Anolis sagrei: one gene and its partners. The protein of the gene in region 2 purifies or fractionates together with the protein of the main gene of each other region. This does not show direct contact. Links are inferred from orthologs where the notes say so. Each region holds a gene or a part of one and is shown on either strand. Other genes may lie near its edges. The genes, in order: PPT1, CANX, torsin-1A-like and BSG.

The links.
Region 1: the proteins of CANX (region 2) and PPT1 purify together in Homo sapiens (affinity purification with mass spectrometry; 3 studies listed by BioGRID and IntAct, with this or other methods). This does not show direct contact. The link is inferred for Anolis sagrei from reciprocal best matches to the Homo sapiens genes CANX and PPT1.
Region 3: the proteins of CANX (region 2) and torsin-1A-like purify together in Homo sapiens (affinity purification with mass spectrometry; 4 studies listed by BioGRID and IntAct, counting the BioPlex papers as one, with this or other methods). This does not show direct contact. The link is inferred for Anolis sagrei from reciprocal best matches to the Homo sapiens genes CANX and TOR1A.
Region 4: the proteins of CANX (region 2) and BSG purify together in Homo sapiens (affinity purification with mass spectrometry; 3 studies listed by BioGRID and IntAct, with this or other methods). This does not show direct contact. The link is inferred for Anolis sagrei from reciprocal best matches to the Homo sapiens genes CANX and BSG.

The regions. Positions count from the first base shown.
Region 1 is NC_090034.1:66,497,913-66,504,811, forward strand, and holds the start of PPT1 (palmitoyl-protein thioesterase 1), read left to right. Parts: upstream 1-3,887; 5' UTR 3,888-3,920; coding exon 3,921-4,032; intron 4,033-6,899. UniProt on the Homo sapiens protein: Has thioesterase activity against fatty acid thioesters with 14 -18 carbons, including palmitoyl-CoA, S-palmitoyl-N-acetylcysteamine, and palmitoylated proteins. In contrast to PPT2, PPT1 can hydrolyze palmitoylated proteins and palmitoylcysteine.
Region 2 is NC_090022.1:86,866,378-86,873,262, forward strand, and holds the start of CANX (calnexin), read right to left. Parts: upstream 3,006-6,885; 5' UTR 2,921-3,005; intron 2,758-2,920; exon of another isoform or gene 2,734-2,757; intron 1-2,733. UniProt on the Homo sapiens protein: Calcium-binding protein that interacts with newly synthesized monoglucosylated glycoproteins in the endoplasmic reticulum. It may act in assisting protein assembly and/or in the retention within the ER of unassembled protein subunits.
Region 3 is NC_090031.1:3,865,789-3,873,366, forward strand, and holds the start of torsin-1A-like, read right to left. Parts: upstream 3,002-7,578; 5' UTR 2,959-3,001; coding exon 2,766-2,958; intron 319-2,765; coding exon 53-318; intron 1-52. UniProt on the Homo sapiens protein: Protein with chaperone functions important for the control of protein folding, processing, stability and localization as well as for the reduction of misfolded protein aggregates.
Region 4 is NC_090034.1:52,360,148-52,367,806, reverse strand, and holds the start of BSG (basigin), read right to left. Parts: upstream 3,022-7,659; 5' UTR 2,956-3,021; coding exon 2,877-2,955; intron 1-2,876. Other genes in the region: CDC34 (ubiquitin-conjugating enzyme E2 R1), read right to left, coding at 6,689-6,899.

The DNA of each region.
Region 1 (6,899 bases), on a different chromosome or scaffold from region 2:
CTTCCTTTGCTCATTGGCTCCATCTTTCTTTATCTCTTTCCTTCCTTCCTTCTCTTTCTCTCTTTTGTTTCCTCTCTCCTTCCTTCCCTCTTTCACTTTTTTATTTCCTTCTCTCCTTCCTTCCTTCCTTCCTTCTCTACCTTTCTTTCTTTCCTTCTCTCCTTCCCTCCTTCTTCCCTCTTTATCTCTCTCCTTCTCCTTCCTTCCTTCCTTCCTTCCTTCCTTTCTTCCTTCCTTCGCCCTTTCTGTGTATGTGTTTTCTGTGTGTATATATGTGTGTATATGTATATATTTGTGTATATATGTATATATGTGTGTTTGTGTACATATGTGGTTTTGCGCATGGGTTGTAATGTATTTTTTTGTTTTTTGGTTTTTTAAGTCTCTTCTGCAGTATTTTTCAATGTCTTTATGAGTGATAGTTACTTGTTGGCCTGATCGGTGTATTGTGTCCAAATCTGGTGTCAATTTGTCCAGTGGTTTTTGAGTTATGTTAATCCCACAAACGAACATTACATTTTTATATAGAATCAATAAACTTCTTTGTTATTTTATCTTGAATTGGATTTTGTGTTAAGTACAGAGGTGATTCCCAGCCTTGGAGTGCAACAGTGTGTTTAATGTGTCACATTTTATATCCTGATATAAAACCCTTTTGGAGAAGCATGCTACTGATCAAGACCTTTGGTGACCTTTCACCAGCACCTCATGACCCAGAAATTTGCTCCAGTTGTCTTCCTGGGCATCATCTACATATGAAAGATTCAATCACCCATCATCTCTGGGACCAATTCATCTTTATTGGCCCCCATAACCCCAATTGTGCAGAGGATGACAGGATCCATTTGCAGAGCCACCCGTCCTTTGTCTCAATCACATGGACATTACAAAGACACTTGGCAAACACACTCGGACAGATGGCAAGCTGTTTAACCTCAGCAGACTGAAAGCCAAAACCAAGGTTACAACAACATCTGTTATAGAACTACAGACAATGTCGTCTGTGCACATTCAGAAGAAGATCTACAAGCCACTCTAAATACCTTTGCAGAAGCATATGAGAAGCTCGGCCTGTCATTGAACATCGAGAAAACCAAAGTGCTGTTCCAGCAGTCACCAGCCAACTCCTCTCCAATGCCAGAGATACAGCTTAATGGTGTAACATTAGAAAATGTTGACCATTTCCGCTACCTTGGCAGCCACCTATCCACCAAAGTCAACAACACTGCCTGAGCTCTGCGAGTGCAGCATTTTTCCGAACGAAGCAGAGAGTGTTTGAGGACATCTGCAGGGATACCAAGGTGCTTGTTTATAAAGCTATTGTCCTCCCAACCCTGCTATATTCCTGCGAAACGTGGACTGTCTACAGACGTCACATGCAACTCCTGGAACAATTCCACCAGCGCTGCCTCCGGAAAATTCTGCAAATCTCTTGGGAAGACAAGAGGACAAATGTCAGCATGCTGGAAGAAGCAAAGACCACCAGCATTGAAGCGATGGTCCTCCGCAATCAACTCCGCTGGACCAGCCACGTTGTCCGGATGCCTGACCGCCATCTCTCAAAGCAGTTGCTCTACTAGGAAACACTGAGCAGCATTCCATGGAGACAGATACTAAAAGACAAGGGAGTTACGGATGGATGGGAGTTTCTCAAGAGTGAAATACTCAAGGCGCAATTGCAAACTGTGCCAACAAAGAGAAAAAATAGGACAAGTGCAAAGAAGCCAGAATGGATGTCCAAAGAACTTCTAACTGTGCTAAGACACAAAAGAGACATGCACAAGAAGTGGAAAAAGGGAGAAATCACCAAAGAAGAATTCAAACAAATAGCCAACACCTGTAGGGAAAAGGTCCGCAAAGCTGAAGCACAAAACGAGCTCAGGCTTGTCAGGGACATTAAAAACAATAAAAAGGGATTCTTTTCTTATGTCAGTAGAAAAAGGAAAAACAAGGACGCGATAGGGCCTCTTCGAGGAGAAGATGGGGCAATGCTGACAGGGGATAGGGAAAAGGCAGAACTACTTAACGCCTTCTTTGCCTTGGTCTTCTCACAAAAAGAAAGTCATCTTCAACCTCAGCAAGACGGAGTGGATGAGGGATTTGAGGACATCCAACCCCAAATTGGGAAACAAGTCGTCCAGGAATACCTGGCCGCTCTAAATGAGTTCAAGTCCCCAGGGCCAGATCAACTACACCCAAGAGTATTGAAGGAACTAGCGGAAGTCATTTCGGAACCATTGGCAATCACCTTTGAGAGTTCTTGGAGAACGGGAGAAGTTCCAGCAGATTGGAGGAGGGCCAATGTGGTCCCAGTCTTCAAGAAGGGAAAAAAGGAAGACCCAAACAACTACCGTTCGGTCAGCCTCACGTCGATACCAGGCAAGATTCTGGAAAAGATTGTTAAGGAAGTGGTCTGCAAACACTTAGAAACAAATGCAGTCATCGCTAATAGTCAACATGGATTTATCAAAAACAAGTCATGCCCGACTAATCTGATCTCTTTTTTCAATAGAGTTACAAGCTGGGTAGATGTGGGGAATGCCGTGGATGTAGCGTACCTGGATTTCAGTAAGGCCTTTGACAAGGTCCCCCATGACCTTCTGGCAAGGAAACTAGTCCAATGTGGGCTAGGCAAAACTACAGTGAGGTGGATCTGTAATTGGTTAAATGGACGAACCCAGAGGGTGCTCACCAATGCTTCCTCTTCATCCTGGAAAGAAGCGACGAGCGGAGTGCCGCAGGGTTCGGTCCTGTTCAACATCTTTATTAATGACTTAGATGAAGGGCTAGAAGGCAGGATCATCAAGTTTGCAGACGGCACCAAATTGGGAGGGATAGCCAATACTCCAGAGGACAGGAGCAGGATTCAAAACAGATTAGAGATGGGCCAAAACTAACAAAATGAAGTTCAACAGCGACAAATGCAAGATACTCCACTTTGGCAGGAAAAACGAAATGCAAAGATACAGAATGGGGGATGCCTGGCTCGAGAGCAGTACGTGTGAAAAAGATCTTGGAGTCCTCGTGGACAACAAGTTAAACATGAGCCAACAATGTGATGTGGCGGCAAAAAAACCCTATGGGATTTTGGCCTGCATCAATAGGAGCATAGTGTCTAGATCCAGGGAAGTAATGCTATCCCTCTATTCTGCTTTGGTTAGACCACATCTGGAATATTGTGTCCAATTCTGGGCACCACAATTCAAGAGAGATATTGACAAGCTGGAATGTGTCCAGAGGAGGGCGACTAAAATGATCAAGGGTCTGGAGAACAAGCCCTATGAGGAGCGGCTTAAGGAGCTGGGCATGTTTAGCCTGAAGAAGAGAAGGCTGAGAGGAGATATGATAGCCATGTATAAATATGTGAGAGGAAGCCACAGGGAGGAGGGAGCAAGCTTGTTTTCTGCTTCTCTGGAGACTAGGACACGGAACAATGGCTTCAAACTACAAGAAAGTAGATTCCACCTGAACATGAGGAAGAACTTGTGAGAGCCGTTAAGCAGTGGAACTCTCTGCCCCAGAGTGTGGTGGAGGCTCCTTCTTTGGAGGTTTTTAAACAGAGGCTAAACGGCCATCTGTCAGGGGTGCTTCGAATGCAAAATTCCTGCTTCTTGGCAGGAGGTTGGATTGGATGGCCCACGAGGTCTCTTCCTACGCTAATATTCTATGCAAGGCACAGGAGCCTCCTCCAGTTGGACATCTAGCAATGCCTCGTTGCAAAACAGGGATGGGAAGCCCATGTTCCTGGAGAGACATTGCATTTCTTCCTCCGTTCCCATTGCCCCTGCTTCTTGAGCTATGATTGCCATAAGTATTGCAATTTTGCAGCCTCCTTCAAAACACAGCCTCTTGGAAGGCGTTTGGTCACGTGACGCCGTTTCCTCCCTGTCTCGAGGCGGAGATCATGTGATACAGCCAAGATGGCGTCGATCAGGTTGTTTGTGTCTTGTCTGCTGTTCTCAGGAGCCTTTTGCCGGATAGAGTTGGAGAGCCGGGCGATACCGGTGCCTCTGGTGATTTGGCACGGCATGGGTGAGTACCAGCGCCCCCAATTCACGTTTTGTCCTCTGAGGGAAGATTTGTTCCAGAAATTAAAGTAAAGGAAACCGCTTTACTCTGAAACCTGTGAGACAGCTCTGAAAAGGCTTTCATGGCCGGAATCGCAAGGTTGTTGTGAGTTTTCCGGGCTGTATGGCCATGTTCCAGAAGCATTCTCTCCTGACTTTTCGCCTGCACCTATGACAGGCATCCTCAGAAGTTGTGAGGCCTGAGACTTTACAACTTCTGAGGATGCCTGCCATAGATGCTGGCGAAATGTCGGAAGAGAATGCTTCTGAAACATATATATATATATTAGTAGCCGTCAGGGCCGTAGCCAGAAAAAAAATTCGGGAGGGGTTGAAATTTTCAGGGGGGGGGTGAAAATTTTGCAGGGGCAGGTTGAAACCTGCCTTCTAGCTCACGCTGAAGCAAAGAGCACAGCAGGGAGCAGAGCAGCCTTCAATAGCCTGCAGCTCCTCACGTGTCAACCACCTCCACCAAGTCTGGCCTCCTTAATGAGAGCATTCAACACACAAACACACCCAACTTGGTTGCTTCACTACATCGGCTATTGCTGCAAGTAATGACAGTGTGAATAAATTGTCAATATTTAAGGCCTTGCATGGTCTGTGGCCAATGTACCTGAGGGACCGCCTCACCCCCTACCAACCCCAGAGATCCCTCCATTCTGAGGACCAAGATCTATTGGAAATTCCCAGTGTCAAGACCTTGCGTCTAACAGCAACCAGACGCAGAGCCTTCACAGCAGTGGCACCATCACTCTGGAATACTCTGCCACCTGAAGTCCGTGCCTTGCGGGACTTATCAGCTTTCCTCAGGTCATGTAAGACATACCTGTTTCGACGGGCCTTTGATCTCTGATATTGCTGTTTTTAAATTTTTTAAAATTGTGTTCGATTTTAGCCTGTTCTTGTAAGCCGTTCCAAGCCCCAGGGGAGTGGCGGCATATAAGTTCGAATAATACATAAATAAATAAATAAATAAATATTTGCTTGAGGTAGTGCTTGTAGTTCTGGAGGGACTCTTAATTTTTTTGCATCTCATAGCCTTAGCATGGGGATTTGGTTAACCAGTTAATATTCATGAGTAAAGTGGGTTTTTTAAAAAAATCTGAAACATTTCGGGGGGGGGGGTTGAACCCCTAAAACCACCCCCTCGCTACAGGCCTGGTAGCCGTCCCCTGCCATGCGTTGCTGTGGCCGTCTGGTGATCTGGAAAATAGAGTATTTTCTAATATATGTAATTTTTTTATGCTTGTGGGTAAACAGGATTTGATTACGTTTTCTTGCCCTGGTGAAGGGAGTTGGACTGGATGGCCTTAAGTATTTTCTATTGGTCATGGGGTTCTGTGTGGGAGGTTTGCCCCAATTCTGTCATTTGGAGGGTTCAGAATGCTCTTTGGTTGTTGGTGAACTATAAATCCCAGTAACTACAAATCCCAAATGTGAAGGTCTATTTCCCCCAAACTGCATCTGTGTTAATATTTGGGCATATAGAATATTCATGCCAAGTTTGGTCCAGATCCATTATTGTTTGAGTCCACAGTGCTCTCTGGATGTAGATGGACTACAACTCCCAAACTCAAGGTCAGTGCCCACCAAACCGTTGTAGTGTTTTCTGTTGATCATGGGTGTCCTGTGTGACATGTTTGGTTCAGTTCCATCATTGGTGGAGTTCTTTGATTGTAGGTGAACTATAAATCCCAGCAACTATAACTCCCAAATGACAAAATTAATTTTTTGAGTGAAGGACATACATTGGGTTGTTAGGTGTATTGTGTTCAAAATTGGTGTCCATTGCTCCAGTGGTTTTTGAGTTCTGTTAATCCCACAAACGAACTTTACATTTTTATTTATATAGATTATTAATAAAATGGTCCAGAGACCCTAATTATTTATTTTTATTTATTTACAGAGCGGCTAACAAAGGCAGCAATTTGATGCCACAATCAATAACACAGTCTAAAACCATAAATACATGCAGAGTTAAAACAATAGCAGTTAATTATAACCAAATTATCATAAGTCATTAAAACAATACTCAGTCCGCAAACCCACTGATAGAACCATAAAACCGTATCCTCATACATATCGTCTTGCCAATCCATTTCCAGTCAAAGTGCTGCTTTATGTTTATTGTCCGAAAGCCTGGTCCCAAAACCAAGATTTTAATTTCTTCCTGAATGCCAGGAGGGATGGGGTCGATCGTATTTCATTTGGAAGCGCGTTCCACAGGCTGGGGGCTACAGCCGAGAAGGCCCTGTCTCTCGTCCCCGCCAGCCGCGTTTGCGATGTTGGCGGGAGCGAGAGCAGGGCCTCCCCGGATGATCTTAAGTTATGAGTTGGGACATAGAAGCAGATGCATTCGGACAAGTAAGCTGGGCCAGAACCGTATATTACACTGTAGCATACAAGTTATATAGGTAATGATACATCTAGTGGATAAAATTTGCAAACAGTATAAGCGCAAAAGCTGGGTTGCAGTTAAACATCAAAAAAACCAAGATTATGGCAACAAGAATGATTGACAACTGGGAAACAGAGGGAGAAAACGTGGAGGCAGTGACAGACTTTGTATTTTTAGGTGTAAAGATTACTGCAGACGCAGACTGCAGTCAGGAAATCAGGAGATGCTTACTCCTTATGAGAAGAGCAATGTCCAATCTCGATAACATAGTGAAGAGTAGAGACATCACACTGGCAACGAAGATCCGCGTAATTAAAGCTATGTAATAATAATAGTAATAGTAATAATATTAGAATATTATAATTATAATTATATATTTACATTACATGTAATATTACTAATAATATTACAATATAATGGTATAGTGCAAT
Region 2 (6,885 bases):
GCCTACCAAAAAGTTGATGGCTCGAATCTAGGGAGCGGGGTGAGCTCCCACTGTTAGCCCAAGCTTCTCCCAACCTAGCAATTCAAAAGCATGTAAATGTGAGGTCAATTGGTATCGCTTCTACGGGAAGGTAATGGCGCCCCATGCAGTCATGACCTGGCAGGAGTCTACGGACAACGCTGTCTCTTTTTCTTAGAAATTGAGATGAGCACCATACCCCAGCACCAGACACAAATAGACTTCATGTCAAGGGAAAACTTTTATCTTCTCCTACTAAGCTTTACAAGGTCTTGAACCTTCTCTGCCAAAAAAAAGGCTGGCTGCTTCCCCAAACTATGTCACCCAGGATTCCCATGGCAGTGAATGGGGTGTCAAACTGCATTCATTCCACAGGGGAGACACAGCTTGAGTAACACATGCACACATCCCACAATACACAGAATGTCAGAGTTTGCAGTTTCAATGCTGTGGGATCCTGGGAGTTGTAATGTGGTGAGGCACCAGCATTCTTGGGCAGAGGAGGTCTCGTAAAACCACAAGTCCCGCGATTCCATAGCCTTGAGCTGACAGAGTCCAAGGGGCGCCAGCGTCAAGCTATGGCATCTGCACCAATCCTGCAGTGTACTTATTTATTTGCGATATTTATATCCCACCCGTCTCACCCCAAAGAGGACTCAGAGTGGCTTACAAGTTATATGTACATTGTTGTTGTTCATTCGTTCAGTTGCTTCCGACTCTTCGTGACCTCATGGACCATCCCACGCCAGAGCTCCCTGTTGGCCGTCACTTCCCCCAACTCCTTCAGAGTCAAGCCAGTCCCTTCAAGGATACCATCCATTCATCTTGCCCTTGGTCAGCCCCTCTTCCTTTTTCCTTCCATTTTTCCCCAGCATTATTGTCTTCTCTAAGCTTTCCTTTCTTCTCATGATGTGGCCAAAGTACTTCATCTTTGCCTCTACTATCCTTCCCTCCAATGAGCAGTCGGGTTTTATTTCCTGAAGTATGGACTGGTTGGATCTTCTCGCAGTCCAAGGCACTCTCAGAACTTTCCCTCAACACCACAGTTCAAAAGCATCTATCTTCCTTCGCTCAGCCTTCCCTATGATCCAACTCTCACATCCGTAGGTGACAATGGGGAATATCACTGCTTTGACTATGCGGATCTTTGTTGCCAGTGTGATGTCTCTACTCTTCAGTATTTTATCAAGATTGGACATTGCTCTCCTCCCAAGAAGTAAGCGTCTTCTGGTTTGCTGGCTGCAGTCTGTGTCTGCAGAAAATTTTGCACCTAGAAATACAAAGTCTGTCACGGCCTCCACGTTTTCTCCCTCTGTTTGCCAGTTATCAATCAATCCGGTTGCCATAATCTTGGTTTTTTAGATGTTTAACTGCAATCCAGGTTTTGTGCTTTCTTCTTTCACCTTGATTAGAAGGCTCCTCGGCTCCTCCTCGCTTTCAACCATCAAAGTGGTATCATCTGCATATCTAAGGTTGTTAATGTTTCTTCCAGCAATTTTTACCCCAGCCTTGCATTCATCAAGCCCCGCACATAGCATGATGTGTTCTGCATACAAGTTGAATAGGCTGGGTGAGAGTCTACAATATATTATATTATTAGCATATTACAATATTAGTATGATATATTACTATATTGTACTATATCACTATACTTTATTATTATTAATATTACATGTAACATAATTATTATATCATTAATAGTGGGTTAAACCCCTGTGCCGGCAGGACTGAAGACTGACAGGTTGCAGGTTCGAATCCGGGGAGAGGCGGATGAGCTCCCTCTATCAGCTCCAGCTCCTCATGCGGGGACATGAGAGAAGCCTCCCACCAGGATGATAAAACATCAAATCATCTGGGCATCCCCTGGGCAACGTCCTTGCAGACGGCCAATTCTCTCACACCAGAAGCGACTTGCAGTTTCTCAGGTCGCTCCTGACACGACAAAAAAAATTTATGAGCACAGCACAATATTAGTATTATATATTACTATAGTTGCTGGGGGGAAGGGCTCTGATGACCCAGGAGACATGTTGGAACTGTCTTCCTGGCTCCCCTTCTTCACTCTGGACCCAGAGCAGCAATTGGTGCTGGGGGGATGGGCTCCGATGACCCAGGAGAGATGTTGGAACTGTCTTCCCTGCTCCCCTTCTTCACTCTGGACCCAGGGTTCCCAACTGATGACCCAAGAGACACGTTGGAACTGTCTTCCCTGCTCCCCTTGTTCAATCTGGACCCAGAGCAGTAATTGGTGCTGGAGAGGGGCTGCCAAACTGATGACCCAAGAGACATGGTGGAACTGTCTTCCTGGTTCCCTTTCTTCACTCTGAACCCAGAGCAGCAATTGGTGCTGGAGAGAGGAGCTCCCAACTGATGGCCCAGGAGACACGGTGGAAGTGTCTTCCTGGCTCTCCTCCCCAGTGCAGATACACAGGAGGCCCCCTCCCCGCTATGAGCAGCCCCTCCACAAAATGAAACACTCGCCCACCCCATCCCCTCCCCCCGTAAAAAGGCGAGGGGAGGTCCCTCAAGGTCCCACCCGAGAGGCGAAGAGATAAGCCACGCACAGGCCCGCAACGACACCTTCCCCCAAGAGGCCCGCTCTAGAAGGCCCTAGAAGTTTGGCCTGCGGAGGGACCCGGCGCTTCTCCCCCTCCCCCTTCTTTCTCTCTCCCTCATTCCAGCCCACTCAGTACCCACAGCCCCCAACGGACACACCCTCCGTGGGACACTTCGCCTCCCGCTCTTGCCGCCTCCAGTGCGTGCCCCAGAGTTCCCTGCGCGAGAGGAAGAGGGCCGCTCTCCTTCTCTCCCTCCACCCCCCCCCCTCATCCCCCGCCGCAACATTCTATCCCAGGCAGAAACGAAGGGAGGGCCTCCTCGCGGGAGATACTCTCTCACTCACCTCGCTCCACGCGCACAGCTCGCCCGCCGAGGCTCCTCCGAGAAACCCCCTCGCACCTCCTGCCGTCACGTGCCTCCGCCCGCGCGCGTTGGTCCGTTGCCTGCCTGCCTGCCTCACACTCTCTCCTCTCTCTCTCGCTCTCTCTCTCAGCCGCTAGCTCCGCCTCCCACGCCCCGAGACTTCCTACTCTCATTGATTCAGGCAAAGGGAGTCTTCCCGCCCCTCCGCTCTGATTGGTTAGACCACGCCATCACTCTCCGCCGCTCTCGCCTTAAGCCCCGTCCCTACGGCGCTGCCCTTCGTGGAGCGCTGCCATTGGCTGAGCGGCTCCGACGGAAGCGCCCGTGGGTTGGCGGGCGAGCCGGAGTAGGCGGAGCTTGAAGGACGAGGGAGCCTCTCCGTTCTTAAAGTGACAGGAGAGCGTACCTCCTGTGGACCGTAGTAAGAAGGAGTGGGCTGGCAGGGGCCTTGTGGGTGTCTGCTGCAGAGGGCCCTTCCAGACAGGCCCTATGTCCCAGGGCCTGATCCCAGGTTCAGATTATCTGGCAGTAGCAATTCTTATAATCCCGTTTAAAGCAGAACACCTGGGAATCAGATCCTCGAATATAGGGCCTTTCTGGAAGGGCCCTGAGACATTCAGAGCAGAATATAGTAATGAAGAGAATGCATTGGCATCAAGTGCAGACATATATAAGCGAGATTGGTGGGGACGAGGGACAGGGCCTTCTCTGTGGTGGCCCCCCGACTCTGGAACTCTCTCCCCAAGGACATCAGACAAGCCCCAACGTTGGCAGTCTTTAGGAATAGCTTAAAAGATGTGGTTGTTCCAGTGTGCATTCCCAGAATAGGAAACTCCAAGCATCATATCCCAAATGCACTTTATTAGAGATTTAAGATTGTCTGCATACCGCACCTATCTCCAAAAATCTATCCATTTCACCTGGTCATGTCCAGCATTTTTAAAATTTTTAATCATTACATTTGGCCCGGCCTTAGTTTTTAAATGTGTCATGGTGTTATTATCTAATGTTTATTGCTATTGTTTTAATGTTTATTGCTTTGTTTATTGTTGTATTTGTTATGCTGTTTTACTTATGTATTGGGCCTCGGCCTCTTGTAAGCTGCACCGAGTCCTTCGGGAGATGTTAGCGGGGTATAAAGGTTTATTATTATTATTATTATTATTATTATTATCTCTTGAAATTAACTCCTAAGCAGAGAACAATACTAAATAGTACACAATTGAACACCTAAACACCTAAAATATATGATCATCGCAATAAGAATAAAAATATTTGTTAACTGCCTCAAGGCTCACAGCATAAAACACATATATCAGAACACACCACTGTATCATACCCCAAAACATGGTAGTATATAAAGCTAGAGGTTTCTCCTGACATTAAGTCTAGTTGTGGCCAACTCAGGGGTGGGGTTTATCTAAGCCAAAGAGCTGGTGTTGTCCATAGACACCTTCAAGGTCATGCAGCCAGCACAACTGCATGGAGCACCATTACCTACCTACCTATTGATCTACTCACATTTGCATATTTTCAAACTGCCAGGTTGGCAGAAGCTGAGACTAACAGCAGGAGCTCACCCCGCTCCCCAGATTCGGTCAGCAAGTTCAGCAGCCCAGCAGTTTAACCCACCACACCACCAGGTTTACAAAGCAGCATATATAAATATAAACACTAAAATTGGATTAAACGTGGAAAATATTTACAATAAATAGTTAAAGCAGATTAAAATATATAAAACATTTCTCAGCATTCCTGATTCAGTCTTTAAAACTTTTTTTCTTTACAAGGGCCGGGTGTTATTTGCTTGGCTTTATAGTCCATGAATACCTTTGTCTAATAACATTTATTTTCTTGAAGCAAAGTGTGTCCCAAGGCCGTTTTTCCTCCGACTACCCTTATTCTGTCCAGCAGAAAAGACCTCTCTAATTGAAGCCTCTAGAAAAGGCAATTGCCCTTCACAAAAGAATTCATTTTCACCAAACTGCATTCAAAATATCAGATCTGGCAATATGTTCGCATTAAGTAAAATTACATCTTTCTCACCATCATTCCAATCCCAATGCTGTTTTAAAACATCCAGGTAGAAAGACGACAAGAAGAAAAAGGTTGCTCAGGGGAATACATGTTTTGTAAAAAATAAAAAAAAAAGAGCTTTGTTAACTGAAATATGTATGTGCTAATCTTGATATAAGCTTTGTAAAACTATGGCAATAAGTGTATAGCCTACTACCAGCTTTCGCTGATACACCATCTGTGCCCCTGCCTAGATTTGGATGACCTAAAGATGGTAGTGCATGCGCTGGTAACCTCAAGGATGAACTTCTACAGTGCCCTTTACACTGGGCTACCTTTGTACCAAGTTCAAAAGCACAGCAGACAGATTGGCTACAGGAACATTCGGGAGTTAGCATATTACACCTATCACAGAGTCAACGCATTAGCTGCCAATTAGTTTCCAGGCAAAACAAAAAGTGTTGGTTGTGATCTTTAAAGCCCTATTGTCAAAGGGCTTTAAAAGCCAGAATTTCGTGACCGGAATCACTGGGTTGTTGTAGGTTTTTTGTCCAACTGCAACTCCCAAAACTTCTCAAGATTAGCAAGGCTTTTGGGAATTGAATTTCCAACATCATGGAGGGACAGCCAATTGCTACCACTAGATTAAGCCAAGGTTCTGTTTCTACTTTGTAGTTTGGTTCTTAATTCCAACCACAATATTTAATTTCCTATTTAAATTCTTCACTTTTTCACCAGATGGCACTATTCACAAAGTCATGGGTCTGTTACTCAATACAATACTGTGCAAAGCTCCAACATTTTTTAAAAATATTTATTTTGCAATTAAGAGTGACTATATAGTGATAATTACGTGAGGAGTTGATTCAGTAAACACCACACCTATTGTCTAACCTGATGTTCTGGTTTAGTACTCCATTTCCGGGTGTTTGTGGACCCCCCCCCCCCCCCCATGTTTTAATACTGGTTAAAATAGTACAGCAAATTCATGTGTGAACAGAAGTCTAATTCAGTTACTTTTAAAACCATACAGAATGCTGCCCAACATTCAGCTGGAGTATTAATTTTTCTTGGGTGCAAAGAACTTACACCATGAATGCAGATTAGTGAGAGATGAAGCTTCTTAATCTTATTTATTTATGTATTTATGACATTTATATGCTGCCCTTCTCATACCGAAGGGGACTCAGAGTGGCTTACAAGATATAGATATATATACATACAATATATTATATTATTAGTGTAGTAAAATATCAGTATTATATTTACTATATTGTACTATACCATTATATTGTAATATTATTAGTATTGCATGTAATATAAAATATATAATTATAATAACATATTACTGTTATTAGTATTATATTGCATTATATTATATTGTTAAAACTATTATATGTATATACAATATATTATATTACATTATATTATATTATATTATTAGCATAGTACAGGAGACAAGGTGGAACTGTCTTCTGGCCCCCTCTCTCTTCACCCTGACCCAGAGCAGTAGTGGATGCGGAGGGAGGGAGCGGGGCTCCCAACTGATGACATAGCATAGGAGACAAGGTGGAACTGTCTTCCGGCCCCTTCTCTCTTCACTCTTCTTAAGCACTAGATGTGGACAGGGAAGGAGTTCACAGAGTGTAGCATAATTAGACTAAGTTTTATTGCACTCCCAGGTATATCTTTTTGTGAGATTTCAGGCCAAAAGGTAAAAACAGGCACTAACAAAAAGAAAAATATATGGTGGGAATAATTTAAATTATCCAAACAGCTGCTGTGCCAAGTCCCTACTAACACCATCTTTCAGATCAGCTGAGAAAGCTGTGCCGAGAGTGCCACACAGTCATATTGCCCACCAGCTTAACATATAATGCTTTATCAATTGTAACACCCTAGTTATGATACTTCTGCCAGAAATCCAGG
Region 3 (7,578 bases), on a different chromosome or scaffold from region 2:
ACCCCGACCAGCTCTAAAGAATGATGCCCAGATCATTGACTCTGTGCTTTACCTTGTACTGGGTGAGGTTCTGCAGGTGAGGGAAATGCAAGGTGGAGATGAACTGGTGGACATATTTGCTGTTGAGGCCCTCTTTGTAGAGGCTCTCGGCCAGGATTTTGCTGGCAAAGTTCTTCCCGGTCCCGGTCCAGCCGTGCAGGGAAAGCGTCAAGGGCTTCTTGGGGTTGGAGTTGTTCAGAAACCCTGTCACGGCCTTCACTATCACCTTCCTGGCCAAATGCTGCCCAAAGAGCTTCTTGTCCAAATTCTCCTGTAGCACTGCAGACGGGGAGAGAAAAAGACACACCGATCAGCTTTTTTTTTTTTTTTAAATCTTTATTGAGTGTTTTTAGATACATAAAAATTGGTGGAACAATTGGGTAGGGATAGGAAAGTGAGATCAGCTTGACAGGAACAGAAATCCTCAACAAATGAATACACATAGTTATATGTTACGTTAATATTGACTGTTATCATTACTGTCATAATCACAATGATATACACCATGACAATGACAATTTATTTATTTATTTGCGACATTTATATGCTGCCCTTCTCACCCACGAAGGGGACTCAAGAGCGGCTTACAAGTAATACGTAAATACAATATATTATATCATTACCATTGCACAATATTAGTATTATATATTACTATATTGTACTATACCATTAGACTGTAATATTATTAGTAATATTACATGTAATATAAACTATATAATAATAATAATAATAATAATGGTAAAGGTTTCCCCTGACATTAAGTCCAGTCGCTATTATTATTATTGTCATTATTGTGCATACATATTTTATTTTTATATTGTACCACATTATAATATTATAAATATATGTATTTACAATAATGATAATTCAACAATATAAAAATATATACTAAGGAAAAATAACAGCACTATTATATTATTATATTGTATCCTTTTATAATATTATCAATATCATATGTATTCACAATAATGATAATATAACAATATAATAACATATACTAAGGAAAAATAATAGCATTATTATTATTATTATTATTATTATTATTATATTGTACCCCATTATAATATTACCAATCTTTGAAATATAATATTATAATATTATCTATCTTTGAAAGGCAGCAGATCACAGGAGCTGTCTTCATAGACTTGTCAGCAGCCTATGAGACTGTGAACCACCGCCTCCTCCTGAGAAAAATGTATAATATCACAAAGGACGACCACCTCACCCGCCTCATAGGAAACCTGCTACCAAACAGGAGCTTTTTTGTCGAGTTCCAGGGCCAGAGAAGCAGATGGCGGAAACAGAAGAACGGCCTGCCTCAGGGGAGCGTGCTTGCTCCATCCATGTTCAACATCTACACAAATGACCAGCCACTGCCAGAAGGGACAGAGAGCTTCATCTATGCTGATGATCGTGCCATCACCACTCAAGCAGGGAGCTTTGAGATGGTAGAACAGAAATTCTCCAAAGCTCTAGGTGCTCTTACTGCCTATTACAGGGAAAACCACCTGATCCCTAATCCATCTAAAACACAGACATGTGCCTTTCACCTTAAGAACAGACAAGCATCCCGAGCTCTGAGGATTACCTGGGAAGGAATCCCACTGGAGCATTGCAGCACACCCAAGTACCTGGGAGTCCCTCTGGACCGTGCTCTTACCTACAAGAAGCACTGCCTGAACATCAAAAAAAAGTGGGCGCTAGAAACATCATACGAAAGCTGAGTGGCACAACCTGGGGATCACAACCAGACACAGTGAAGACATCTGCCCTTGTGCTGTGCTACTCTGCTGCTGAGTATGCATGCTCAGTGTGGAACACATCTCACCATGCTAAAACAGTGGATGTGGCTCTTAATGAGACATGCCGCATTATCACAGGGTGTCTGTGCCCTACACCACTGGAGACATTACACTGCTTAGCCGGTATTGCACCACCTGACATCCGCCGGGAAGTAGCAGCCAATAGTGAAAGGACCAAGGCAGAGACATCTGCAGCCCATCCCCTGTTTGGGTGTCAGCCTGCATGTCAACGATTTAAATCAAGACATAGTTTTCTAAGACCTACAGAGACACTCGCTGGAACACTCCAGCAAGCGAGAGTCCAAAAGTGGCAGGCTCAAACCCAGAGCCTCAATCCAAGGGTGATACCAGATGAGAGACTCCCCCCTGGTCGAACAGAGGACGGGGCGACTTGGAAGGAACTGAACAGACTGCGCTCTGGCACCACGAGATGCAGAGCCAATCTCAAGAAATGGGGCTACAAAGTGGAATCCTCGGCATGTGAGTGTGGAGAAGAGCAAACCACTGACCACCAGCTGCAATGCACCCTGAGCCCTGCCACATGCACAAGGGAGGACCTTCTTGCAGCAACACCAGAGGCACTCCAAGTGGCCAGATACTGGTCAAAGGACATTTAACCAACTACCAAATTTGCAAAATCTGTGTGTTTTTTTTTCCTTTTTCTTTTTAGTCTGTGTGTTTGTTTTGCTCTGTTAGAATTGTAATACAATGGTTGCTGATGAGACGATAAATAAATAAATATTACCAATATTATAAGTATTCACAATAATGATAATATAACAATATAATAATATATACTAAGGAAGAAATAATAGCACTATTCTAATAGTGACAATATAAGCATGACATTATTATGTTAATACAGTTCCCACTTTCTGAGGTGACAGCCCCTCAGGCAGCCAGGTAGGCCTCTGCCTGACTGACCTGGCTGGACTTGGGCGCCGTCCCCTTGGTGGCAGCAGTGGGCGAAGAGGCAGTAGAGGCGCGGGTAGGAGAGGAAGCCCGTGAAGGCGGAGGCGGCGGCGCCGGCCAGGGCCAGGCTCAGGCTCAAGGGCTCCACTGCCCCGGCCAGGCCCGCCGACAAGACCCACGTCGCCAGCCACACCCGCCACCGCATCGCCTCACGACGGGCACTTCCGCTCTACTGGCGGCGGAGGGCCCTCAGGGAAGGCGCTTCCGGTCCCGCTGCCGCCATCTTGGGGCCGGGCGGGAGTTCAACGCCGCAGCGACGGGATTGGCCCGCGGGGAGGAGGGGGGCGTGGCTTAAACGAGACTCACGGCCTATCCCATTCCAGCAGCACGAAGGGGCGGGGCCTATTCCCAAACACACTGCCTTTCCCATTCTAGCACCTCTAATGGGCGGAGCGAGGGGCGTGGCCTATTCCTCAATACAAACCCATTCTAGTCTCCCACATGGGCTGAGCGAGGGGCGTGGCCTATTACTTGATAGTCTTTCCCATTCTAGCCACACCAATGGGCGGAGCAAGGGGCGGGACCTATTGATTGATAGACACTGCCTTTCCTATTCTAGCCACACCAGTGGGCGGAGCTTGGGGCGTGGCCTATTGCTTGATAGACACTGCCTTTCCCATTCTAGCCACACCAGTGGGCGGAGCGAGGGGCGTGGCCTATTGCTTAATAGACACTGCCTTTCCCATTCTAGCCACACCAGTGGGTGGGGCGAGGGGGCGGGGCCTAATGCTTAATACACCATTCCCATTCTAGTAACCCTAATGGGCGGAGCGAAGGGCGTGGCCTATTGTTCGATAGACACTGCCTTTTCCATTCTAGCCATACCAGTGGGCGGAGCGAGGGGCGTGGCCTAACGCTTAATACACTGCTGTTCCCGTTCTAGCTACCCCCTAATGGGCGGAGCGAGGGGCGTGGCCTATTCCTCAACACACCCAGCCTATCCCATTCTAGCTACCCCCTAATGGGCGGAGCGAGGGGCGTGGCTTATTTAATAATAATGCACTTTATTATACTTTGGATACACACTGCCCTGCCTATTCAATCTACCTTTCCCAATTCTATATGCTATGATAATAAAATAATATAGTATAATATAATATATAGTATATATATATACTGTGTATACAACATAATACTAATAATTATATGTATATATTACATGTATGATTAATATGTATATATATACTGTATTTAATATAATACTAATAATATATTATAATTATGTATATATATACATATGTATTACATGTATTATTAATAATGTTTTTATATATACTGTGTATACAATATAATACAAATAATATGATATTATAATTATATATATATTACATGTATTATTAATATTTATATATATACTGTGTATACAATATAATACTAATAATATATTATAATTATATATTACATGTATTATTATTTATTTATTTATTTATTTATTTATTAATGCGCTTGTATACCGCTAATATCTCAGCCTAAATCGGCGACTCATTGCGGTTTACAACACTTAAAAAACAACAATATTCAGTTTAAAAGCATAAAACACATATCCAATACAAATTATTATTAATAATATTTATATATATACTGTGTATACAATATAATACTAATAATATCACATTATAATTATATGTATATATTACATCTATTATTAATAATATGTATATATACTGTGTATACAACATACTAATAATATGATATAATATTTGTATATATTACATGTATTATTAATAATATGTATATATATAGTGTATACAATATGCTACTAATATGGTATTCTAATTATATATATATTACATGTATTATTAATAATATTTATAAGATTATAATGTAATGCAATATACTACTAATAATAATTCATTATATTTCTATATTTTATATTACATGTTATATTATTAATAATATTACAATATAATGGTATAATACAGTATACAAATATATAATGCTGATATTGTGCTCTGCTAATAATATAATATATTGTATGCATATATATCTTGTAAGCCACTCCGAGTCCCCTTTAGGATGAGAAGGGCGGCATAGAAATGTCGTAAATAAATCATATAATACTGCCCCTCCATTGAAACCTATGGGGCATCTCTGCCTCTGGAAAATCCTGCAAATCTCTTGGGAAGACAAGTGGACAAACATCAGCGTGCTGGAAGAAGCAAAGACCACCAGCATCGAAGCAATGGTCCTCCGTCATCAACTCTGCTGGACCGGCCACATTGTCTGGATATCTGACCACCGTCTCCTAAAACAGTTGCTCTACTCCGAACGCAAGAATGGAAAACAGAATGTTGGAGGACAGGAAAAGAGATTGAAAGATGGGCTCAAAGCCAACCTTAAAAACTCTGGCATAGACACTGAGAACTGGGAAGCCCTGGCCCTTGAGTGCTCCAGCTGGAGGTCAGCTGGGACCAGCAGTGCTGCAGAATTGGAAGAGGCACAAATGAAGGGCGAAAGAGAGATACATGCCAAGAGGAAGGCACGTCAAGCCAACCCCAACCAGGACGGCCTTCCACCTGGAAACCGATGCCCTCACTGCAGGAGAACATGTGGGTCAAGAATAGGGCTCCACAGTCCCCTATGGCCCCACTGCCAGAATGCTACACTTGGAGGACCATCATCCTCAGACTACGAGGGATCGCCTAAGTAAAGTAAGAAGTAAGTATGGGGCATCTCTCTGTCCAGGATGTGCAATCCTTTGCCGCCCTCCGGGGGACACATTGAGCATTGCGCCCCCTTGGTATTGTGCACCTCTATTGACGCCTATGGGGTATCTCTCTGCCCAGGACTACTATGTGTAATACTATGTGGACACACCGAGCATTGCGCCCTCTTGCTAATTTTAAACCAGATTTATTCCTTTCCCTATTTGGTTTTAAAGATATTTTCCCACTTAATAACTGAGCCTAGGGGGGTGCTGCATTTCTATTTCTATTTTAATGGGGTTTTTTTTTAAAAAAAATTAATAGTCCTAAATTTAATTGCAAGAGTTTAATGTATTTTAACAGCTTTTTCATCGTAGTCCTGTATTTAATTCTGTTTTTGAGGTTTATTATGTCTTAGGTTTTAATTTACACATGGTAAATTAAATTATTATTAGTAGTAGTAAAAAGCAAAATATTATTATTAACGACAATCTGCTTTTAATCATAGAATAATAATAATAATAAGCTTTGCTTTTAATAATTCCATCTCTTCTAAGAGAGGAAAAAGGATGATGACGACATTAATAACTTTTAACTCTCTTAGAATAATAATTAAAATAATAGTTTTTTAAAAGTAGGATATTATTTATTTATTTATGACATTTATATGCCGCCCTTCTCACCCCGAAGGGGACTCAGAGCAGCTTACAAGTAATATGTAAATAAAAAACATTATATTATTATAATAGCATAATATTAGTATTACAGATTACTACGTTGTACTATACCATTATATTGTAATAATAATAATAATAATAATATCCCTGCTTTTTATTTATTTATGAAATTTATATGCCGCCAGTCTCATCCTGAAGGGGACTCAGAGTAGCTTACAAGGTATATATACATACAATATACTATTATATTATCGACATAGTACAACATCAGTATTAAATATTACTCTATTGTACTATACCATTATATTGTATTATTAGTAATATTACATGTAATATAAATTTATAATTAAATTATTATTAGTATTATATTGCATTACATTATAATATTATAAATATTATCTGTATAGACAATATATTATATTACACTGTATTATATTAGAATAGCACAGGAGACAAGGTGGAAGTGTCCCCTGGACCCCTCTCTCTTTTACTCTTGGAATAATAATAATAATAATAATACTTTATTTCATCAGTTCTAAGGCACTCACTAATTTCAGTATCATCAAAACAGAAAAAAGCTGTATTTCTGTTTCCAAAAGTACCTGTGAATCTCATTTTTTGGAGATGTTTATATTGGAATAAATAAGGGCTTCTTAGTATCAGTGGTGCAGCAGATTAAACTAATGAGCTGATGAAATAGTTGTCCTAAAGGTCTGTAGTTCAAATCCAGAGAGTAGGGTGAGCTCCCACTGTTAGCCCCAGCTTCTGCCAACCTAGCAGTTTGAAAACATGTAAATGGGAGTAGATGGAATAGGTACTGCTCCGGCAGGAAGGTAACGGCGCTCCATGCAGTCCTGCCAGTGGAGGTGTCTATGGACAACGCCGGCTCTTCGTCTTAGAGATGAGCACCAACCCCCAGAGGTAAAGGGGGAAACCTTTACCTTTTTAGAATTGATGAAATAACAACAATAATAAATGTATTCCTGGCTTCTCCCTGTGACTTGATCCTGTACGAGGGGTTAATTCACTCCTTTGTTCCCCATTTAATAACATAGTAATAATAATAATAAAACAACGCACACAAAAATCCGGTTTTAAAAAGCCTTCTGCATTTTCAACACAGACACAGCTGAAGAAGACATTCCAAATACTGCCTGCTTTTAATCGATCCCCAAACGGAACTGGCTTGAACGCCGACGACGTGGCCACGCTCCAAGAGTTTAAAAGCGTGGCCCTGAATTGGGATGTATAGTACAACCAGGGCCTCCTCCGTTGAACTATGAATCCCAAAAAGATCTACTTTTTTTCGGGCCCTTTTCTGCTCAAAGGAAAATGAAAGCCACACTGCAAACGGAAACAAAAAGTTCGTAATGGAGGGAGAGGGATAAAATAATTATCGTAATAATAATAATAATAATGACACACCCAACACACGGATTTCTG
Region 4 (7,659 bases), on a different chromosome or scaffold from region 2:
GTTACAAGACCCTACTTACTTTGCCCAAAAAGCACAGCACAGGACAGCGGTGCTCTCATTCCCGCTACCTGTTCCCAGTTCCAAGACTGGAATCTCCCCAGGAAGAGGGATTCCACCTCAACATTAGAAAGAACTTCCTGATGGGAAGAACTGTTCGGCAGTGGAATATGCCTTCTTGGTGTCGGTGGAGTCTACTTCTCTGAAGGCTTTTCAGCAGAAGCTGAATGGTCATCTGTCAGGACTGTTTTGATTCGGTCTTCCTGCATGTAAGGATGGAGTTGGGCTGGATGGCCCTTGGGGTTTCTTCCAAAGTCTATGATTGTGTGGTTTTTTTAAGAAAAAATTCTTCAGCAGAATCTGTGGGTGCAAAGTCCATGGCTATGGAGGGCTGGCTGTATTAAGCATTATGCTATACAGGCAGTCCCCAAGTTATGAACAGGATAGGTTCTGTAGGTTTCTTCTTAAATTGAATTTGTATGCAAGTCTGAAAAGGGACATTTTTAACTATATATATATATATATATCCATATATATCCTTTAGCTCTGGATAGCATAGGGAAGGGTTAACACCCTGTGGGGTTATCTTTCTGTCTGTGCCCTTGTTCAGTAATTTCAGCTCACTTCCCGTCCCTGTGATGATTGGATTTTTGGTAATTTGGCTTGACGTGGAAACAAGGATTGGTGCTAAAGATTCAGTGGAGACCCCTTTTCCCCTTGATAATTCTTTCAGAAGTGGATTTCCCTTCCAAGGGGTAGATTTCTCTCACTTCTTGTTGTCTCACTCTTGTTCTTAACTGTAAGTCGAATGTTTGTAATACAGGGAATGCCTGTATATGTATGTGAATATGGAGGCCCCATCTTCCCTGGTAAAATCTGGGGAAAATCCTTTTATTTAAATGTTGCTAAATGGACGCCCTTCTGTGAATCCTTTCTTCGTAATACGAATCCAGCGAGTTTAATATATATATAAAAATCCGTCTTCCGTTTCACTTCCCAATGACATAAAGACCCTGAGGAAATGTCCCCTCCAAACAGTGAATTTCCTGAATTTCCCCTTAGAAATGAAAACTTCAGAGACTGAAGATCCCCCTCAAATTTCAAATTAGCTCTCAGGATTTTGCCTGTGGATAAGAAATTTCCCCTCAGGATATGTAATCTATTATCAGATAATTATATTTTGCCTTCAGGATAAGAAATTTCCACCTCAGAAAATAGAATTTTCCTCTCAGAATTTTAGATTTACCCTCAGAATATGAAATTTCCCACTCAGGATATGAAATCTCTTCTCAAATAATTATATTTTTCCCCTCAGGATATGAAATTTCCCCCCAGATAATTATAGTTCACTTTCAAAATATGACATTTCCCCTCAAAATAAGACATTTCCTCCTGGAATTTTAAATTTACCTACAGAATTTAAAATTAGCCCTCAGTATATAACATTTCCCCTTCAGGATACAAAATTTCTTCTCAGATAATTATATTTCGCTTACAGAATATGAAATCCCCTCCACCCCTCAGAATACAAAAATTCCTCACAGAATTTTAAAATTTCCCCTCATGGTATAAAATCGATTATCAGATAATTATATTTCACCTTCAGAATATGGAATTTTCCTCTCAGGATATTTAATTTTTTCTCAGAGTATTACCTTCCCCACTCAGAATATGAAATTGCCCCTCGGGATATGAAATTTCCATCTCAGGATATATATTTTTTTCTCAGAATAAGAACTTTCCTCTCAGAATATGAAATTTCCCCCTAAAGATATTATTTTTTTCTCAAAATATTTAATTTCCTCTCAGAATATTACATTCCTGCCACAAAATATTAAATTTCCCCCTAAGGATATTAAATTTCCCTCTCAGAATATTGCCTTCCCCCCTCAAAATATGAAATTTCCTTCTCAGAATAGAATTTTCCCCACAGGATATGAAATCCCTTCTCAGGTGGGGTTATCCTTCTGTCTGTGCCCTTGTTCAGTAGATTTCACCCCACTTCCCGTCCCTGTGATGATTGGATTTTTGATAATTTGGCTTGACGTGGAAACAAGGATTGGTGCTAAAGATTCAGTGGAGACCCCTTTTCCCCCTGATAATTCTTTCAGAAGTGGCTTTCCCTTCCAAGGAGTAGATTCTCTCACTTCTTGTCTCACCCTTGTTCTTAACTGTAAGTCGGATGTTTGTAATACAGGGAACGCCTGTATATGTATGTGAATATGGAGGAAATCTGGGGAAAATCCTTTTATTTAAATGTTGCTATCGGAGCAAAGATCCTTTTATTTGAGGATTTTGAAACCCAATTTAAAGAGGCCTTGCCTTCAGAATATGAAATCTCCACCCCCGGATATGAAATTTCCCTCTCAGAATATAAAATTTCCCTTCAGAATATGAAATTTCCCCCTCAGGATATGACATTTCTTCTCAGGTTACTACATTTTCACTTCAGAATATGAAATTCCCCCTCAGAAAATTATATTCCAACTTCTTAATATGAAATGTTCCTCTCAGAATATAATTTTCCCCCCTCAAGATATGAAATTTCTTCTCAGATAATTATATTTCAACTTCAGAAGATGAAATCCCCTCACAGAATACAAATATTCCTCTCAGAATTTTAAATTCTCCCCTCATAGTACGAAATTTCCCCTCAGACAATTATATTTCACCTTCAGAATATGAAATTTCCCCGCAGGATATGAAATTTTCTCTCCGAAAATTACTCCCCCCCCCCCCTCAGAATATGAAATTTCCCCCTCAGAATATTTAATTTCCCCTCAGAATATGAAATGTCCCCTCGAAGCCTTATATTTCCCTTCAGGAATGGAAGCCCTTCCGCCTCGGCGCCTCCTTCCTTCCCTGCCTGGACCTCTTACCCGCGGCCGAGGCGCCGCTCGCACAGCAGAGCCAGGCGCCCAAGGCCAGCACCAGCCTTCTCGCCACCATCGCCCTCATGGCTCCCGCTGCTTCTGCCGCTCCGTCGCTCTGCTCCTCTCCTCAGGAATGGCGGACGCCTGGTAACCCCCCGGAGGCGGAGAAACCGAGGAAGAGCCAATGGCCGACGGGCGCGAGCCCCGAGAGGCGCCGCTATTGGCTCCACCGCCCGAGAAAGCGGGCCAATCCGATTGCACGCGAGGAAGGACGGTTGAGGACGGCAAGAAGGGGGAGAGGGTGACGTCAAAAACCCCAGCCAATCAGATACTTTAGCCTGCCCGGTGGGAGGCGGGGCTTCAAAGGGCCTTTGATCGACAAGCTAGCCACCTATAGGAAAGATTAAAGGAGGCAGGACGGGCCGGAAACCGAAGTCACTCCCGCAAGGCATCTCAGGCTACTACACCAGGTCACGTACACACACACAAGAGGCGGTCGCTGCCATCTACGTCAAGCACGGGCACTGGCCAATCGTGGCGCCGATTCTCACGACTGGCGTTACCCAAAACCAATGAAACGTGCGAGCTAACTACGAGCCCCACCTACTCATGTAAATAGCACTAGAGGACTCAGATTCTTAAAGAGACCGCAGCCACTTTAGAAGAGGAAAGCAGACTATCATATCATCTCATCTGCAAAAGTTTAAACTCATACATATTGTCAGCTTTAGCTTGCAGCTAAATTATATATTTTATATAGCATTATAATAATTATATATATACAATACATATTATTATTATAATATATATGTCTGTATATACATTTAATATAATATATTTTATATTATATAGCATTATAATAATTATATATATATAATACATATTATTAATATAATATATATGTCTGTAAAATATATAATTTAGCTGCAGGCTAAAGCCAACCCTTAATATTTGTACTCTGTATTAATATTTGTTATAAATTATACAAATTATATGTTTATATACTTTTAAATATCTATTTTTCACAATACAAAGCCTGGCCAAGTCTATTTGCTTGCCATTTCCTTGTGACCGTTAGAAGAATGGGATGGCCCTCCATCAGGGTTGGACCAGATACCCTCTGAGGCCCCCACTGGTTTTTAGGAACTCTTTTACACCTTTGACCTTAATCTGGCCCTGAGCAAATTTATCTCTACTCTGGAAAATTATGAAGAGAGGGAATTGTTACAAGTTGGAACGGGATTATACCTTTGTATCGATACGTCTGTATGAACAGTTTACGCCAACCATAAGGCCACACAGGCTGGGGATGATAGGAGCTGTACTTACTTAGGCGATCCTTCGTTGTCTGGGTATGATGGCCTTCCAGGTGGCCTTTGGGTAAGCTGGCAGATGGATAAAAGACAATGACGACCAGAGTAAGAAAGGACAATGACATTGCTAGATGGATTATGGATTTATGAATTGATGAACGTTGACCACAAGATGATTTTATTGCTCTTGTTGTTTTAATTTGACTGTTTTAATTAGTTATAACTGTCATCGTTATATTGTAAATTGTATATTGTATTTTGTGAATTGTTGAGCATCGAATTGTGCCTTTTGTAAGCCGCCCTGAGTCCCCCCCTAGGGGGTTGAGAAGGGCGGGGTAGAAGCACTCCAAATAAATAAATAAAAAGGTAAGTGTAGTTTCTGGGCATTGGATACATTGGTGATTGTCGAGCCCTATTTTTGACCCGCATGTTCTTCCATAATGAGGGCATCGGTTTCCAGGTGGAAGGCAGTCCTGGTCAAGGTTGGCTTGATATGCCTTCTTCCTCTTGGCACATTTCTTCCTTTCACCCTCCATTTGTGTCTTTTCAAATACCACAGCACTGCTGGTCACAGTTGACCTCCAGTCAGAGCGCTCAAGGGCCAGGGCTTCAGTTTTCAGTGTCAATGCCAGTTTTTAAGGTTAGCTTTAATCCCACCTTTCAATCTCTTTTCCTGTCCAACATCATTCTGTTTTCCATTCTTAAGCTGGGAGTATAGTAACCGCTTTGGGAGACGGTGATCGGACATTCGGATGTGACCAGCAGTGGAGTTGATGGCGTAAGAGCATCGCTTCAATGCTGGTGGTCTTTGCTTCTTCCAGCATGCTGACATTTGTCTGCGTGTCTTCCCAAGAGATTTGCAGGATTTTTCGGAGGCAATGCTGAAGGAATTGTTCCAGTTGAGTGTGACATCTGTAGACAGTCCACGTTTCACAGGCATATAGAGTTGGGAGGACAACAAGTTTTATAAGCAAGCACCTTGGTCTCCCTACGGGTGTCCCAATCCTCAAGCACTCTCTGCTTCCTTCGGAAAAATGCTGCAATCGCAGAGCTCAGGCAGTGTTGTATTTCAGTGTCACTGTTGACTTTTGTGGAGAGGTGGCTGCCAAGGTAGCGGAAATGGTCAACATTTTCTAACATTAAACCATTCAGCTGTATTTCTGGCATTGCAGAGGGATTGGCTGGTGACTACTGGAAAAGCACTTTGGTTTTCTTGATGTTCAATGAGAAGCCAAGCTTCTCGTATGCTTCTGCAAAGGTGTTTAGAATGGCTTGTAGGTCTTCTTCTGAATGTGTACAGACTATGCTATCTATCATCAGCATCCTGGAGTTCTATAACAGATGTTACTGTGAACTTGGTTTTGGCTTTCAGTCTGCTGAGGTTAAATAGCTGTAGTACACCATCGGAGATGAAGATCAAGAACATATCAAACACAAAAAGTACGTTCCATGGACCAGGCTGCTCTCCGCAGCCCAATCTATGTTTTGGGACTTCAAAGCCGTTCAGAAAAGTAACTTTCCCACCACTTTTTGAAGTCAGACTTCACAAGCAAGCTGTTTGCGAGGCTGCCACCCCAAAAGGCACTTTCCTTTCAAAGTCCTTTTTATTAAATAGCTTCAAAACCAAGAGGGAGAAACCAATTAAACCCCAAACTCCCCCGAAACACGGAACAAAACCACAAAAGCAAAATAAACCCCCCAAAACGATTGTTACAAAGAAAAGGCACCCCCCCCCATGTTCGCAAAAAAAATATCTCCATTTCTTGTCATTCTGAAGGGGACGCAAACATTCCCAAAGTGAAAAGACAATGCAGTGGAAAGACGGCCAAGCAGTGCCTCCCAGTGGCTGAGTGAGGAACCGGACTCTGTAATTCCCACATTTCTAAAAAAAGGGAAAACACCAATTAATGGAAGGAGGGGTGCTCTGGTTCTCTTAGTGCCTTTCCATCCGCAAGCTCAGATGCCCCTCATTCAGAATTAAAGTCTTATAGTGTAATAAATGTTTTTTAAAAAATAAATGGAAGCAAAAACGTTCAAAACACCCAGTGCTGCGTCTTGGTGCTTCGTCTCAATGCGACCGAGAATGAAACACCTGGGGAATCAACAATCCCTCTCAAAAATCCCTATGATTAACTCCTCCTCCTCTGCACAAAACACAAAACAAACGCTAAACCAAAAGCCAAATGGTCAATCTATCCCCCTAAAAAAGAAAGAATTCCTCCCTCCCCATCCCAGCCACTTCAAGCAGAAACCAAGTCTCCCTTTTTGAGGTAGAGTTCTCTCTCTCTCTCTCTCTCTCTCTCTCTCTCATTCTCTCTCATTTCAATTCGGGGCAAACAGGGGTTCCAAAGCCTCAGCCGGATCCATCCTGGGTTCAAGTAAAAGAGTCAGATAGTTTATTGCTACTATCAGGAGCAGCAGCAGCAGGAGGAGGAGGCAGCGTTGGAAGGGGGCAAAAGGGAATGGGGGGAAGGAGGAAAGGGGCAAGGAAGGGGGTCCTCCTTGTCAAGACTCCTCATTGCCGGAATCATCCTCGTCGCCATAGCAGCTGTCCACCTCGTCGTCCATCTCGTCGTCCTCATAGTAGTCGTCATAGAAGAGGTCCGAGCCCTCGTCTGGCGCCGGGGTCTTGGTCTTGACGCAGTATTCTGCCAGCGTGGTGGGGACCTTGACGCCATCCCGCTCGGCCTCTGCCTTTGTGCCCAGCACTTGCTTCCTGCCAGGAAAGAATAATAGAACACTAGAGTTGGAAGAGAGCACATGGGTCATCTAGTCCAACCCCCTTCCTCTATGCAGGAAAAGCAGAATCAAAGTACTCCTGACAGATGGTACTTTAAAAAGCTTTCAAGGAAGGAGCTTCCACCAGATGCTGAGGCAGAGAGTTCCACTGCTCAATAGCTCTTACAGTCAGGAAGTTCCGCCTCATGTTCAGGTGGAATCACTTTCCTGTCATTTGAACACATGGCTACATTGAGTCCATTGAAAACAAGCCCGCTCCCTCTTCCTTATGCCATCCTTTCACATATTTATGCATGGCGATCATGTCTCCTCTCAACCTTCTCTTCTGCAGGTTAAACATACCCAGTTCCTCATAGGGGTTCATGGTCTCCAGACCTTCATCATTCTAGTTGTCCTCCTCTGAACATCTTTATCTATTTTTAACTATAGTGTCCAGAATTGGAACAGTATTCCGGGAAAATAGGTCTGACCAAAGCCGAATAGAGAGGCACCATGACTTCCCTCAAACTAGACACTATACCCCTTTGCCTTTCTTAGCTGCTGCATCACACTCTTGGCTCATGTTCAACTTCCTGTCAACAAGGACTCTAAGATCTTTCTCACAGGGACTGTTGTTGAGTCAGGAGTCCCCCATTCTGTGCCTTTGCATTTCATTTTTCTGCTTAAGTGTCGTATCTTATGTTTGTCCTTGTTAAAATTCATATTGTTAATTTTGGCCAATCAGGTCTCTAATTTGT